Linked DNA regions of Drosophila melanogaster. The protein of the gene in region 1 interacts with the protein of each later gene in a pairwise test. Each region holds a gene or a part of one and is shown in the gene's direction. Other genes may lie near its edges.

The links. The genes of interacting proteins can lie anywhere in the genome.
Region 2: the proteins of CG31673 (region 1) and LManIV interact in a two-hybrid assay, tested with the Drosophila melanogaster proteins (one large-scale study listed by BioGRID).
Region 3: the proteins of CG31673 (region 1) and CG13045 interact in a two-hybrid assay, tested with the Drosophila melanogaster proteins (one large-scale study listed by BioGRID).

Annotation. Positions count from the first base shown.
Region 1 is NT_033779.5:20,827,708-20,831,631, forward strand, and holds CG31673 (uncharacterized protein), read left to right. Parts: upstream 1-1,901; 5' UTR 1,902-1,962; coding exon 1,963-2,366; intron 2,367-2,573; coding exon 2,574-2,905; intron 2,906-2,963; coding exon 2,964-3,089; intron 3,090-3,153; coding exon 3,154-3,272; 3' UTR 3,273-3,356; downstream 3,357-3,924. Other genes in the region: CG31674 (uncharacterized protein), read left to right, coding at 3,771-3,924.
Region 2 is NT_033779.5:8,768,524-8,774,096, reverse strand, and holds LManIV (lysosomal alpha-mannosidase IV), read left to right. Parts: upstream 1-1,752; coding exon 1,753-1,836; intron 1,837-1,899; coding exon 1,900-2,270; intron 2,271-2,327; coding exon 2,328-2,798; intron 2,799-2,848; coding exon 2,849-3,680; intron 3,681-3,743; coding exon 3,744-4,922; 3' UTR 4,923-4,938; downstream 4,939-5,573. Other genes in the region: LManV (lysosomal alpha-mannosidase V), read left to right, coding at 1-1,093; LManIII (lysosomal alpha-mannosidase III), read left to right, coding at 5,428-5,508, 5,567-5,573.
Region 3 is NT_037436.4:16,289,077-16,292,697, reverse strand, and holds CG13045 (uncharacterized protein), read left to right. Parts: upstream 1-1,747; 5' UTR 1,748-1,822; intron 1,823-1,879; 5' UTR 1,880-1,900; coding exon 1,901-2,464; 3' UTR 2,465-2,986; downstream 2,987-3,621.

The DNA of each region.
Region 1 (3,924 bases):
CCAGTAGATGTGAAAATAAAAAAAACAATTAAAAAACAAGTATTTGCTGTTGCAAATTTATTAAATTAAATATGTGGGAATCTAATCTATACCGTAAGATTAGCTCAACTGATTAATATGGAATAGGTAAAGCAATAGAATAATTGGTGCTAGAGAATGAGAAACATAATTTAAATACTAATATAGTATATCGTAGGAAATAATATTGTACGTTTTAAGAAATGAGAGCAGAAAACATTGATTTAGTAATTCGCAAAGTTTAGCTCTGCACAATTGCAAAACCTACCACTTTTCCCCAAAATGTATCGAGGACCTTCAAACTGCTGATTTCGCATCCAAAAGTCCCAGGAACGGCTGCGGGAGCTTGTCGGATCAGGATCGGAATAGGATCATCGCTTCTTAAAACTGGGTGCTTATGCCGCTTGAGAGTTCGCTCGCGAAACCCGACTTCGGTTGTAGTTTTTCAACCTGCTCCCACTGATTATGGCTTTGCTGATCGAATATAATAATTGAAGGCCCCTGGGCATGGCCCGTTGGTTTCAAGGTGCTGGGGGCGAATCCCAGGGATTACTATGTGGGCATTTATCTGCAGAAAGAGAACTGCAACTGCAACTGCTGCAACCAGCAAGAAAGCAGACCGGCGACTGAGCAGGACAGTAGCCCCATAAGGCAGTGGCTCTAAATGAATACTGCCCCCAGCTGACTACGCCGATGTGCCGGAAGTCAAGAGGTGCAAAGTCCCCTGTCAACAACGACGTGGTCGATTTGGCAGTGGGTTCGAGTCGTCGTTTCCACAAGTGATCCAAGAGGATGTACACCATGTTGTACAGTAAAGGATGTAGTAGTATATTAAATTGAACGATTAATCAGTATACCTGTTACTCCAAAAGTAAACGGTATACTTCTTTCAAAAATAAGTAACGGGAAGAAGAAAACGTTTTCATTGCATACAAGTATATGTCTGTCCTTTCGAACAACTCGATCTCAGGACATAAAGCATTTTTAATTTTTCAAAAATATGTATGTAACAGTTGTGGGCGTGGCAACGATTTGAAACAATCTTTTGCAGCGTAGACGTAATCTGTATGCCTAATCTAAAGATTACAGCTTTTTATAGTTCCTGTAGGCTATTGATATCAGTCCTAGTTGCTTTTAGGGCCCCCACCTAACAAATACTCGTACTTCTGGCCCCTTATCAGTATAAAGATTTTTGTCTTATCTCTTTAGTGGTTGACAGACAGTGTCTAAAAGTATTTTGGCAAGATTTCATTAAGGTTTCTTGAAGGTTACAAATGAGTAGGTTAACGTTTTTGCTGTTTAGTTTTATCATGTTTCTGCGTAAATGTTGATCTTTAATGTCACCTTTTTAGTTGATTTATTTAAAGATCGTTATTTTTGCATAACTTTCAGTTGTCCTGCCGCATATTGTGGCACCATTACTACCTATAATGTGATTCGTGGCTTGGCTGGGGATCCCATGTACCTAGTTGCCCACCTACTATTACATTTAAATGGGTTTAGCCGCATCCCAGTAAATGTGAAATAGAGTAAAAAAACATTTTCCTGATGCAAATTGATTAATTAATGTGGAAATCTAATCTAATGGTATAGTTTGACTGATTACTACGAAATATGTATGAAAATCGCTCATAGAAACGTAAATAAATAATGACTTTAATTATATAAAGCTATATATAAATAATCAATTTTATAATTGTAAACTTTTCTTTTTACTGTAATACTTTAATACTATCCCTAAAAATTGTATAGGAACGCGCAGGAAATAGTAATGTGAATTTCAAGAGATGAGAGCAAATTAAAATGTAAAAGCTTAAGAGAACCTTTTAAGCCTAAGAGCGGGGCACAGAAAAAGCTTGAATTGTCATTTCGAAAATTTCCACTTAGTTCAGCCCTGCAATTCGCCGCTACTAGTTGATATTAAGTGCTATATTTTCCCCCGAAATGTCTCGTGCGACCAGGGCTTTTAAAGTGCTGATTTCGCATCCAAATGTCCCAGCACCGGCTCTGGAACTGCTCCGATCCCGTGGAGCGGAGACCATCATCTGCCAGAGTGTGCCGCCCTCGAGGGATGAGATCCTGCAGAAGGTGCCCGGCGTGGATGCCATCTATTGGGCCCATTACCAGCCCCTGAATGCCGGAATCCTGGATGCTGCTGGATCCCAGCTGCGTTGCGTGAGCACCATGTCCTCCGGAATCGATTTTGTGGATATTCCGGAGTTCCAGAAGAGGGGAATCCCATTGGGCCACACTCCCGGGGTGGTGAAAAATGCAGTGGCCGATCTCGCCATTGGCTTGATGATTGCAGCCGGTCGTCACTTTCATGCCGGTCGCACCGAAATCGAGAGGTAAGAAAAGCTGATGGGCGCTTTTTTCTCAGAAGCTTTTAATATTGAGAGCTTTTCGGATGAGGGTTGCCAACTAGTTGCACATGCCCTATATACGGCTCTACTTCTACACTCTTTTGGAATATCAGATACTTAAGTACACCTAATACTTACCAATCATTAATACGTTTCATATGAAAACATAATATAATATAAAAATATTTACAGGTCCCAATGGAAAATCGAGCAGATCAACTGGATGATGGGTCAAGAGATTCGCGATTCCGTCATCGGTTTCTTTGGCTTTGGCGGTATTAGTCAGGCCATCGCCAAGCGATTGCAGTGCTGGGATGTGGCCAAGATCATCTACCATACTCGCACCCGAAAGGAAAACGATGGCGACTTCAAGGCAGAGCATGTGTCGTTTGAACAACTTTTACAAGAAAGTGACTTCCTGGTGGTAGCTGCTCCACTTACAAACGAAACTAGAGAGAAATTCAATGGAAAGGCATTTAATCTGATGAAGAGGAGTTCTGTGTTTGTCAATGTGGCCAGAGGAGGTAGGATTTTAACTACATAACTGTATGAACGCTATTGCATACCCGTGGATTTTTTCAGGTCTGGTAAATCAAACTGACCTTCATGACGCCCTGACAAATGGTACAATTTCTGCCGCAGGCTTGGATGTGACCACACCAGAACCACTGCCCGCCAATAGTCCTCTTCTCAATGTGCCCAATTGTGGTAAGCTAGAACATTTATTTCTCTTCCCTGAGTGAACTGAAATATTATTTATATATTTCCACAGTTATCCTTCCCCATATGGGCACTCAGACAATGAAGACTACCATTGAAATGGGATTGCTTGCTGCCAATAATATTTTGAACGCCATCGAAGGGAAGCCCATGATAAGGCCAGCCTACTGAGAACATGCAAAATTTGAATGGAAGAAACTTTACCTGTATCCTACTCGGATCGGAAAATCAATATTAAAAAATGATATTAAACATATAAATGTCGAACTTGTTAACCGCAACTATAATGGATTGATATTTTTTCTTGTTTAATTGAATAAGTGAATAATTATGAAAATTATGAACGTAACCATAAAAGCTCTTCATGCGTTTTGTTGTCAGCTTTTTCTGTGATAGGGGGATCTGGTGCTCTATAAAAGTCCGGCGACAAAGCCAACCGTTTGTCAGTCGTTTAAGAAACGCAGGGAATATAACGTCGGTGCTAATAGACTCCGATTTTTGAGCATTTAAGAGCTTCAGAGAGGAAGAGCAATCAAAAAGCTTCTAACTGCTCACGAAAAAAGAGAATATTCGAAACTCTGCTCTGTGTCAGTGATTATCTATAAAGTGTGGCACTTGTAATTATTTTTCCTATCAAATAATATCTTTTCGTCACCAGAAGGACTTAAAATGTCAACAACAAAGCCGTTTAAAGTGCTGATAGCACATACCGATGTTCCGCCAGAGGGAATTGAAATCCTGAAGGAGCAATGCGAGATCCTGCAAGTAATAAATGAACCTCCAAAAAATCGGCCTGAAATTCTAGAAAAGATCAGGGGGGCTC
Region 2 (5,573 bases), about 12 Mb from region 1:
TCTTTATAGGACCTATGACTCTGGTGCCTATGTGTTCCGTCAGTACAATCAAGGAGACTTCGTCATCCAGGAAGATGGTGTCGAGTTCACTGTTTACGATGGAGCTTTAGTCAAGGAAGTTCACCAGCGTTTCAGCGAATACATTTCGCAGGTCATCCGTATCAGCGAGGACAAGCCTTACGTGGAATTCGAGTGGCTTGTAGGCCCTATTCCGGTTGAAGAGGAATTTGGCACGGAAGTAGTAACTATCTTCAGCAGTGAAATTGCCTCCAATGGCGTATTCTATACTGATTCCAATGGACGCGAGTTGATCAGACGCGAAAAGGACAAGCGAGAGGACTTCACCCCCGAGCTTGCTGTCCAGCCTACTTCCGGAAACTATTATCCCATCACATCGCGCATTGCTCTGCAGGACAGCAACAAGCGCCTTGCGATCCTAAACGATCGTGCTCAAGGAGGCACCAGCATGAAGGATGGCCAAATTGAACTTATGCTGCACCGTCGACTCGTCCGTGATGATGGCTATGGAGTGGGAGAGGCCTTGAATGAGGAGAAGTACGGCCAGCCCTTGATTGCCCGTGGTAAGGTGTTCCTAATCCTTAACGCCGCCGACGAGTCCACGTCCGCCGAGCGCGAAGCCGAAAAGGAGTTCCATCTGCCCCTTTGGAAGTTCTTCAGCAAGAACACTGGAAGCACCACCGCTGCTGCCAAGTCGGTTCCCAGCTTTGACGACTTCCCCAAGTCGGTGCATCTGCTCACCCTAGAACCCTTCAACGACGATGAGATTCTGCTGCGTGTGGAGAACTTCAAGGATCACATCGAAGGCAAAGTGGTTAGCTTTAACATTCGCCCGATCTTTGACTACCTGAACGGAGTCGAAATCCGCGAAACTACCTTGGATGGCAACCTGCCCTTGAGTGACATGAAGCAGTTCAAGTTCCACGCTGAGGGTTCAGGAATTAGGGGATCAGAACCTGAGTACTACACCTCGTCCCACAAGCCGCTGTCCGCTAACCAGACGCAAGATGCCGCCGAGTTCGCTGTCACATTGTATCCAATGCAGATTCGAACATTCATCATTAAACATGAATAATTGTATTTCAATGAAAATCAAAGAAATAAATAAAATTATGTCTGAATAAAAACACTGTTGTTTTGCTTTAACTTATTAGGAAATAAGTCCCTCATACATACAGGGAAGTAATACGAGTCATATGAAAATTTTTTAAAACTTTACAAAATTCAATTAACCGCACGGGTTTAACCCAATTAACTCTGAGGTTTTACTTTAGAAGTTAGTGGAGTATTACCATGTTTATATGGAATTAACAGTTACGGCCTCATATAATTCAAGTTACTTATGACTGTTGATTACTTTTATTTTATAAGCAGTGTGCAGAAACCTTTCCCACTCACTACAGAGAGTCTCAATCATATAATTTTTATTTAAAAAAATGTATATTAAATTCTTTTTCAATACGCTAAGTTATCAATAAGGGCGCAAGTGCATTTCAGGAGCTTCAATCCTTGAAGTGGTTGATAAATAATGGGTCCAATTCTTATCGCTACGTGGAGGGTGGGCATTCTAAAAAAAAGTATTCACCAAGTTTTTAATAACCCACTAATTGCTAATTAGGTTACCTTATCTTAGTGACCATCATGTATTTTCTTATCAATGCCTTCTTAGAAACGGTGCGCCCTATAAAGGAGCAGTCTTGGTTTAATGGGAATTCAGTACTTGGTAATGACAAGATGACTTATTTGGGTCGCATTTTATTCCTGTCCATCTTATTGGTGCTCTTCGCAAAACAATCCGAAGCAGTTTGTGGCTATGAGGTAATATAAATTTGTTGATGCTTTTCAAAATGATATCACTATATCCTTTGATATTATTTGCAGTCATGTCCCGAAACAAAAGCGAACATGGTTAACATCCATTTGGTTCCTCACTCCCACAACGATGTGGGCTGGTTGAAGACAGTTGATCAGTCTTATTATGGTTACAAGAACAAAATTCATCATGCCGGTGTCCAATATATATTGGATAGTGTGGTGTCCCAGCTCCTCCAGGATCCCAAGCGTCGTTTCATTCAGGTGGAGACGGCATTCTTTGCCAAGTGGTGGAACGTCCAGTCAGAGTCCATGAAAAAGGTGGTCACCAAACTGGTCAACGAGGGACGTTTCGAGTTTACTGGCGGAGCTTGGAGTATGAACGATGAGGCAAATGTCAATTACCAGGGTGTTATTGATCAATTCACTGTGGGATTAAAGTGGGTTAATTAGAAACACTAATATTCCTTAGTCTTTGATTACTCTAATCTTCGTAGGTTCCTCAACGAGACGTTTGGCTCCTGTGGTCGTCCTCGAGTTGGCTGGCAGATCGATACTTTTGGACACTCCCGCGAGCAGGCTGCAATTTTCGCGCACATGGGCTACGATGGACAGTTCTTTTCACGAATGGATCATAACGACAAGGACACACGTATGAATGACTTGACAATGGAGATGATTTGGGATGCCAGTGAATCGATGAGCGGCGTCAGTCTCTTCAGCGGCATGTTGTACAACTTTTACTCGGACACTCCAGGCTTTTGCTTCGACATACTTTGCACTGATCAGCCCATTATTGATGGTGACAGCGAAGAAAATAATGTGAAACAGAGGGTAGATGACTTTATAAGTTATGCAAAGAATGTGTCTGAGGTGTATATCACTAATCACATCATGGTTCCTATGGGCGGTGATTTCCAGTACGAGGACGCAAAAGTTAACTACAAAAATATGGACAAACTGATCAAGTAGGTGTGATTAAGAAACACAAATCGTTTATAACTTTCTTTTGCGTTAGGTACATCAATGAACGTCAAGCGTCTGGTTCAAAATACAATATCTTCTACTCCACTCCAAGCTGCTATCTGAACTCCTTGCACCAGAGCCTAGAGTCCTGGCCAAACAAGACTCAGGACTTTTTCCCATACGCTCACGAGAAGAATAGCTTTTGGACTGGATTCTTTACTTCCCGACCCACTCAGAAACGATTCGAGCGTGATGGAAATCACATGTTGCAGGTGGCCAAGCAGCTTTCTGTACTCGCGAATCTTACTAGCGAAGAGCATAAAATAGACCTGGATTATCTGCGCCAGGTCATGGGAGTGATGCAACATCATGATGCCATTACGGGCACGGAGAAGCAGGCTGTCTCGGATGACTATGATCGAATGATGTACGAGGCCATTGTTGGGGCATCTAACAATGCCCGCGATGCCCTGCGTCTTTTGACCAACATGCCTTATGGAGAGTTTGAGAGTTGCCTGAGGTTGAACATCAGCGAGTGTGCTTTCACCAAGGATGGTGCTGATAACGTTTTGGTGACCCTATACAATCCCCTGGCCCACAGCTCCACTCAGTATGTTCGCATTCCTGTTAAGGAGGAGAACTATCAAGTAACCGATGAGAAGGGCAGAACAGTTCCATCGGAGGTGGTTCCAGTGCCGTGGCAAGTTTTGGCATTGGAGTACAGATCCAATGATACCCAGCACGAGTTAGTTTTCAAGGCAACGGTAAATAAGGTATCCAGTTACTCTATCAAAAAAGTCGAGAGCTCAGAGGTCAAACATTCATCGATAAAGAAGATTAATCCCAGAGAAGATAACAATTCAGAGACTGTTGTAGAAAACTCGGTAAGTGCATTTGATTGTCTAATAACTTAAATGTTTTTTATCCCTACGATATATAACCCATAGGTTGTTAAACTAGTGATGGACAACCATACAGGACGATTGAAGTCGGTCGAAATGAACGGTGTGTCTGAGAAAATAGTCCAGAACTTTGGCGTTTACAAGAGTCACACATCCTGCGCCTACACATTCCGCCAGGATGGAGATATAGAATTGTTTGAAAATGATTTTGAGTTCACAGTCTATGAAGGAAGTTTGGTCAAGGAAGTCCATCAGCATGTGAACGACTGGATTTCGCAAGTGATCCGTATCTACGAGGGCGTAAGCAGAGTGGAGTTGGAGTGGATGGTGGGCCCTATTCCCATCGATGATAAACTAGGTAGTGAATTTGTGACAAACTTTAAGAGTGAGATTTCTTCGAACGGAGTTTTCTATACCGATTCAAATGGACGTGAATTGATGAAACGTGTGAAGGATAAACGCGAGGACTTCGTTTCCGACTTAAGCCGACAGCCTGTGAGCGGAAACTTCTATCCAGTCACATCGAGAATTGCTCTTCAAGACGATACCAAGCGTTTGGTCCTCCTGAATGACCGCTCCCAGGGTGGAGCCAGTTTGGAGGATGGTGCCCTAGAGATGCTGATCCATCGTCGTCATCTCTTCAACGACGGTGGTGGAGTGGGTGAAGCCCTGAATGAGACGCAATATGGCAAAGGTCTGATTGCCCGAGGAAAACTTTACCTCATTCTCGATTCCGCGACAGATGGAGATACTGTGACGGAACGTAAGACTGAGAAAGAGCTCTTCCTTCCCTTTTGGAAGTTCTTTAGCAAAACTGGTGGAGTCGAAATAACTCCATCCAAATCCCTTCCCGACTTTAATGATCTTCCGCAATCCGTTCACCTACTCACCCTGGAATTCTTCTCAGAGCAAGAAATTTTGATCCGCTTTGAACACTTCTTGGATAAATCTGAAGGAAGGGTGATTAGCTTCAACATTCGGGATATATTCGATAGTCTTGGCGGTTTGGCGATTAGGGAAACAACCTTGGATGGAAATATGCCACTGAGCGATATGAAGCGATTCAAGTTCCATGCACAAGAATCCGGAACCAAGCCGTCATCCGTGGAATATTCTACGGCACAGCACAAGCCACTTGAGGCTGTCAAATCGGATGAGGCCTCACTTTTTGCTGTAACACTATATCCTATGCAAATTCGCACTTTTATTATTAAAACAGAGTAAGAAAAGTATAAGAAATAAATGATCAAAATTAAAATTACATTATTCTTATCTTTTTGGGGTCATAATCATTATCGGCTACTTCTGCATGTGGAGCTTTCCCTTTCCTGAAGATTATAGCTCGCTTGAGTGTAATCCCAAAATGGAATGGTGCTCGCAATAGTATACACATTGTAATCTTTAAGTGGGCAATTACCAATTAAAATCCATTTAAGTTATTGAATGATAAGAATTGCAATTCATGCCAAATCGAAGTACATTTTGATTACGTTAGAAACACTGGAGCACTGCATGTGGCCCAAATAAAACGCATGGTACTTACCCTTTGAGACCTCTCACTAGCGGTTGGTTTTAAGTTAATTACCTCTCTCGACTAGTTAAAATTCAAAACATTCTGAAGTGTTGATTACTTATCAGATAACCCCCCATTGAGAAGTTTATAAAAGTGGCAACTTTTATTGTATAGCCAGTTCTTGTTGTGCAGTTGCTGGTTAGGGAACTCTGCAAGATGAGTTCTGTAAAGAACTTGGCCATTTTGTTGGCCTTGTTTGCCTCTTATATTGTCCAATCTGAGGCTGTTTGTTATGAGGTGAGAAAAACAATAGATCTTTGATCTTTGCATTGGTATTAAAATGTTCTTTATACAGTCATGTC
Region 3 (3,621 bases), on another chromosome or scaffold:
TGGGGCAACATTGAAATTCAAATGAAATTGCGATTGAAGGAAAGCGTGTACATATTCAAAATTGATGAGCGAAAATAATTTTATGATTTGGTATACATTCAACGGTTTCCTCGAAACGAAAAACCATTTGAATAATATTTGTAGCATATCTTCCAGCTAACAGGTTGTGTGCAATCAATTGAGTGAATCAAATCAGCTGAAACTTCAATAGCTTGCAACAAAGTATTATTTTGGTGGTGGATGGGGGATACAAATTCGCACTTGTTGTTGCCAAACACGTGCAGCGATTTAGCACGCATTACATTACAATGCGGCTCCGTTTCAAGAGCACCTGTTGCCAGCGGCGGCGGAAAATGTGTGGAAAATTTGTATGGAAAATGGGGGAAAACGCGAAGCAACCACTCGAGGAGTAGAATCAGCTCAAAAGCTGGGCGTGTGCTCCACTTGGAACACAAAAGGAAAACAAAAAGAAAAACGTGCGTGGAAATTCCCGCTATCTGTGCCCCCTTTTTCGGTTCAGCGAAGGTGAACATATCGATTTCTGATTTAGCCACTTTGTTATGCTAATTTCCCCGGCTTTCCCGTCCTCGATTTTCCTCTGTTATTCTTTTTTTTCAGCGTCCTGCTCCTGTGTTGACAATTTCGATGAGCGCGTGTCGCGCATTTGGCAACCCAAATTTAATTGGCAACCCGTGCGGGAATTTCGCCTGTTTACGACAGATTCTGGACCAGATTTTATGGTAGCAATTCCATGCACACGTTTGCCCACTTTTGGGCGACTTGGAGGCGATGCACAAGACGCGGCCAACTTTTGGGCTTTTCCACGGCTAATTGAGAGCAACGAAAATGGCTTTGTTGGCGGCGGTAATAAATCGACTTTTAACTGGCGTGTGATATTTTGGCATTTATATTTCGGCAACGGCCATCAATCAGAGTCATAAGGCATAAAAAGGTGCCTGGAACGTGATCGCAATGGGTTTCTTGCAGCTCTTGCCACTTGCTTGCTTTTTTTTTTTTTGTCTTATATTTTATACTTTTTTGCAGCTGGTGGCGGCGGCAGTAAAAGTTGCTGCAGTGTAGCGCGTGCATTCGTAAATGTGATCCATGGCTTTGGGCGAATGAAGTGCACATGATAATGGCTTCTGAGGTGGAAGAGTTTAAGATGTTGATCCGAAGAGAGGGGTGTGTTAAGGTGCATATCTTATATCTGAGGAATTTATTTAGAAGATGTCTGAAATAATACATATGCTTATTAATTTTAACACCATCTATCCGACTACAGCAATTCTGAATTGGAATCTAATAAAAAATAAGATTGGATAGGTTGACTTCTTGACTTCAAACGGAGTCACAAAAGCATTCACATCTTTACTTTACTGATTCGGAGTTCTTAAACTGTTAACAATTTTTTTTTTTTCGGTAAAGTGTGAAGTTATACCTTCCACCTTAATTACCTCATTTGAAGTTTTGACCACCGACTTGTGGTTCGTACTTCCACCGAATTTCGCCTGCGGATGGGGCATTGCAAAACTTGTCGCATGCATTTGCCGCACGATTCGCTTGTCGATTGCACGTCGTGCGCAGATCCCTTAATGGAGTTTTTACCTTTCGGCTCCTCTAGTTTCCAGACCCCTCCTCCACTCCTCCTCCACCTACTCCTCCACCCACTAAATCAGCATAACTCGGATCGTGGTATATATAAACCTGCAATGGTCAGCCAAAATCGATTCATTTCGTGTGAAAGTGTCGCGGAGAAGTGACTTAATACGGAAATCGAAAACGGAAGAAAGCATAACGGGTGAAAATGTTAAATATTTCAAAAGCAAGTGAATCGAAAGTGACTTTTAACTGAAAAATAATAGTTTATCTTTATATATAGATACCTTTGATATGTGTTCTGATGTGTTTTGGTGCTCCAGCGCTTGGAAGTTTCCATCATGAACCATCGACGGTGGGCGTTCCCGTGGGAGTTCCAGTCCCAGTGCCAGTTCCTGTGCCTTCTCCATATCCGGTTCCATCTCCAGTGGCGGTACCTGCTCCAGTAGCAGTACCCGTTTCCGATACCGTCACCGTGCCAGCGGCCTTTAGTGCCCATCAAGGATTTGCGTACGGAGCTGTCGATCACTATGGTCCACCACCTCCGGCGATCTTTAAATATGCTACAACCTATGCGGCACCACAGCCAGTTATTAAGTACTCCCTTGGAGCTCCAGTGACCACTACCACCACCACCTACACCGGATTTGCAGCACCACCACCACCAGCCGTTCATTATGCTGCAGCAGCTCCACCACCACCACAGTTCATAGCCCGGTTTGCTCCTCCACCCACTGGCTATCAGTTTGCAGCTGCTGCCCCGTCATATGGCAGGTACAAGCTCCACTTTGGGTCACCACCTCATCATTCTCCGGCCGCCGTTTATGGAGCTCCCCCTCCTGTAGCATTTAGCACTCAGGGCTGGTAACTCGAGAAGCGCCAGCTGGGCTCTGGCTCATCATGCATAACTATGAATGATAATTTCCTCAAATTAGCAATTAATTAAATCTAAATAATGTTGTTATGTTTCGTATTATACGCGACTGGTGAATTTATGCGAAGAACGCGAAGCGTAGCGATTAAATTATGCTTATGTCAATACCCATAAATAATTCAGATGTTTTCATGGCTCGAAGTTATTTTTTGGCTCAGCCAATTTTGGCCAAAGGCGAGGCTTGACTTTGAGAGGGCCCAGAAAAATGAATAAATAATATAAATTTGCCGCTATTAAAGCTATGACTACGGATCAACTGACCTAAGTCAATGAATGAAAGAGGGAAATAGCGGAGCCATCCGTCAATTGGGTCAACAGTTTAAACTTTAAAGAGCCTTTGAGTTCACAGATAGACAGCTTGATTACACTACAAATATTGTTATTAAACAAATAAATCAAGTAAATTGTGTATTTCCGTATTTAAGTTTGAATACTAATATATTTGGGTGGCGGCTTAACATTTAGATTTAATGTTTAAGAAGACAGAACTGTATTTGTCCACTTTTTGGATATTAATTGGATCTTGTTATCTTGAATTAGAATACATAAGTATTTTCTTAGATACCTACATCTATAAGTCAATAAATCAAGCTATTACACTATAAACAGCACATTAGCTAAATTACTAGAAGTACAAGAACGCTATAGTCGAGTTCTTCGACTATAAGATACCCACTACTCATCTAGTGGGCGAACGAAATAGAAATTTTAACATTTTCTGTTGGCAAATCAATGTTAGTAAAATGAAAAAAAAAAAATGAATAAGTAAGTTTCTGGGTGTAATATTAAATTAATATATCTGAATTTTAAATAAAAACAGGAAAAGTTCCTCCCTTTTCTTTCAGTGTAAACCTCATTCGGATCCGCATTTATTGTGAGTGTATTTTACTATCTAAAGGTCTACGAGTAACGGGTATAATAATAATAAATTTGTATTTAACATTAATTCCGATAGTGAAAAGTGGCTCCCCATTTCTTTCAGTGTAAATTAAATTCGGATGCGCATAGATTGTGATTCCGTTCCACCATCTGAGGTCAATCTGCGATGAGAGACAAGAGACACGCAGCGAAAGAGCGGCAATCAAACGCCG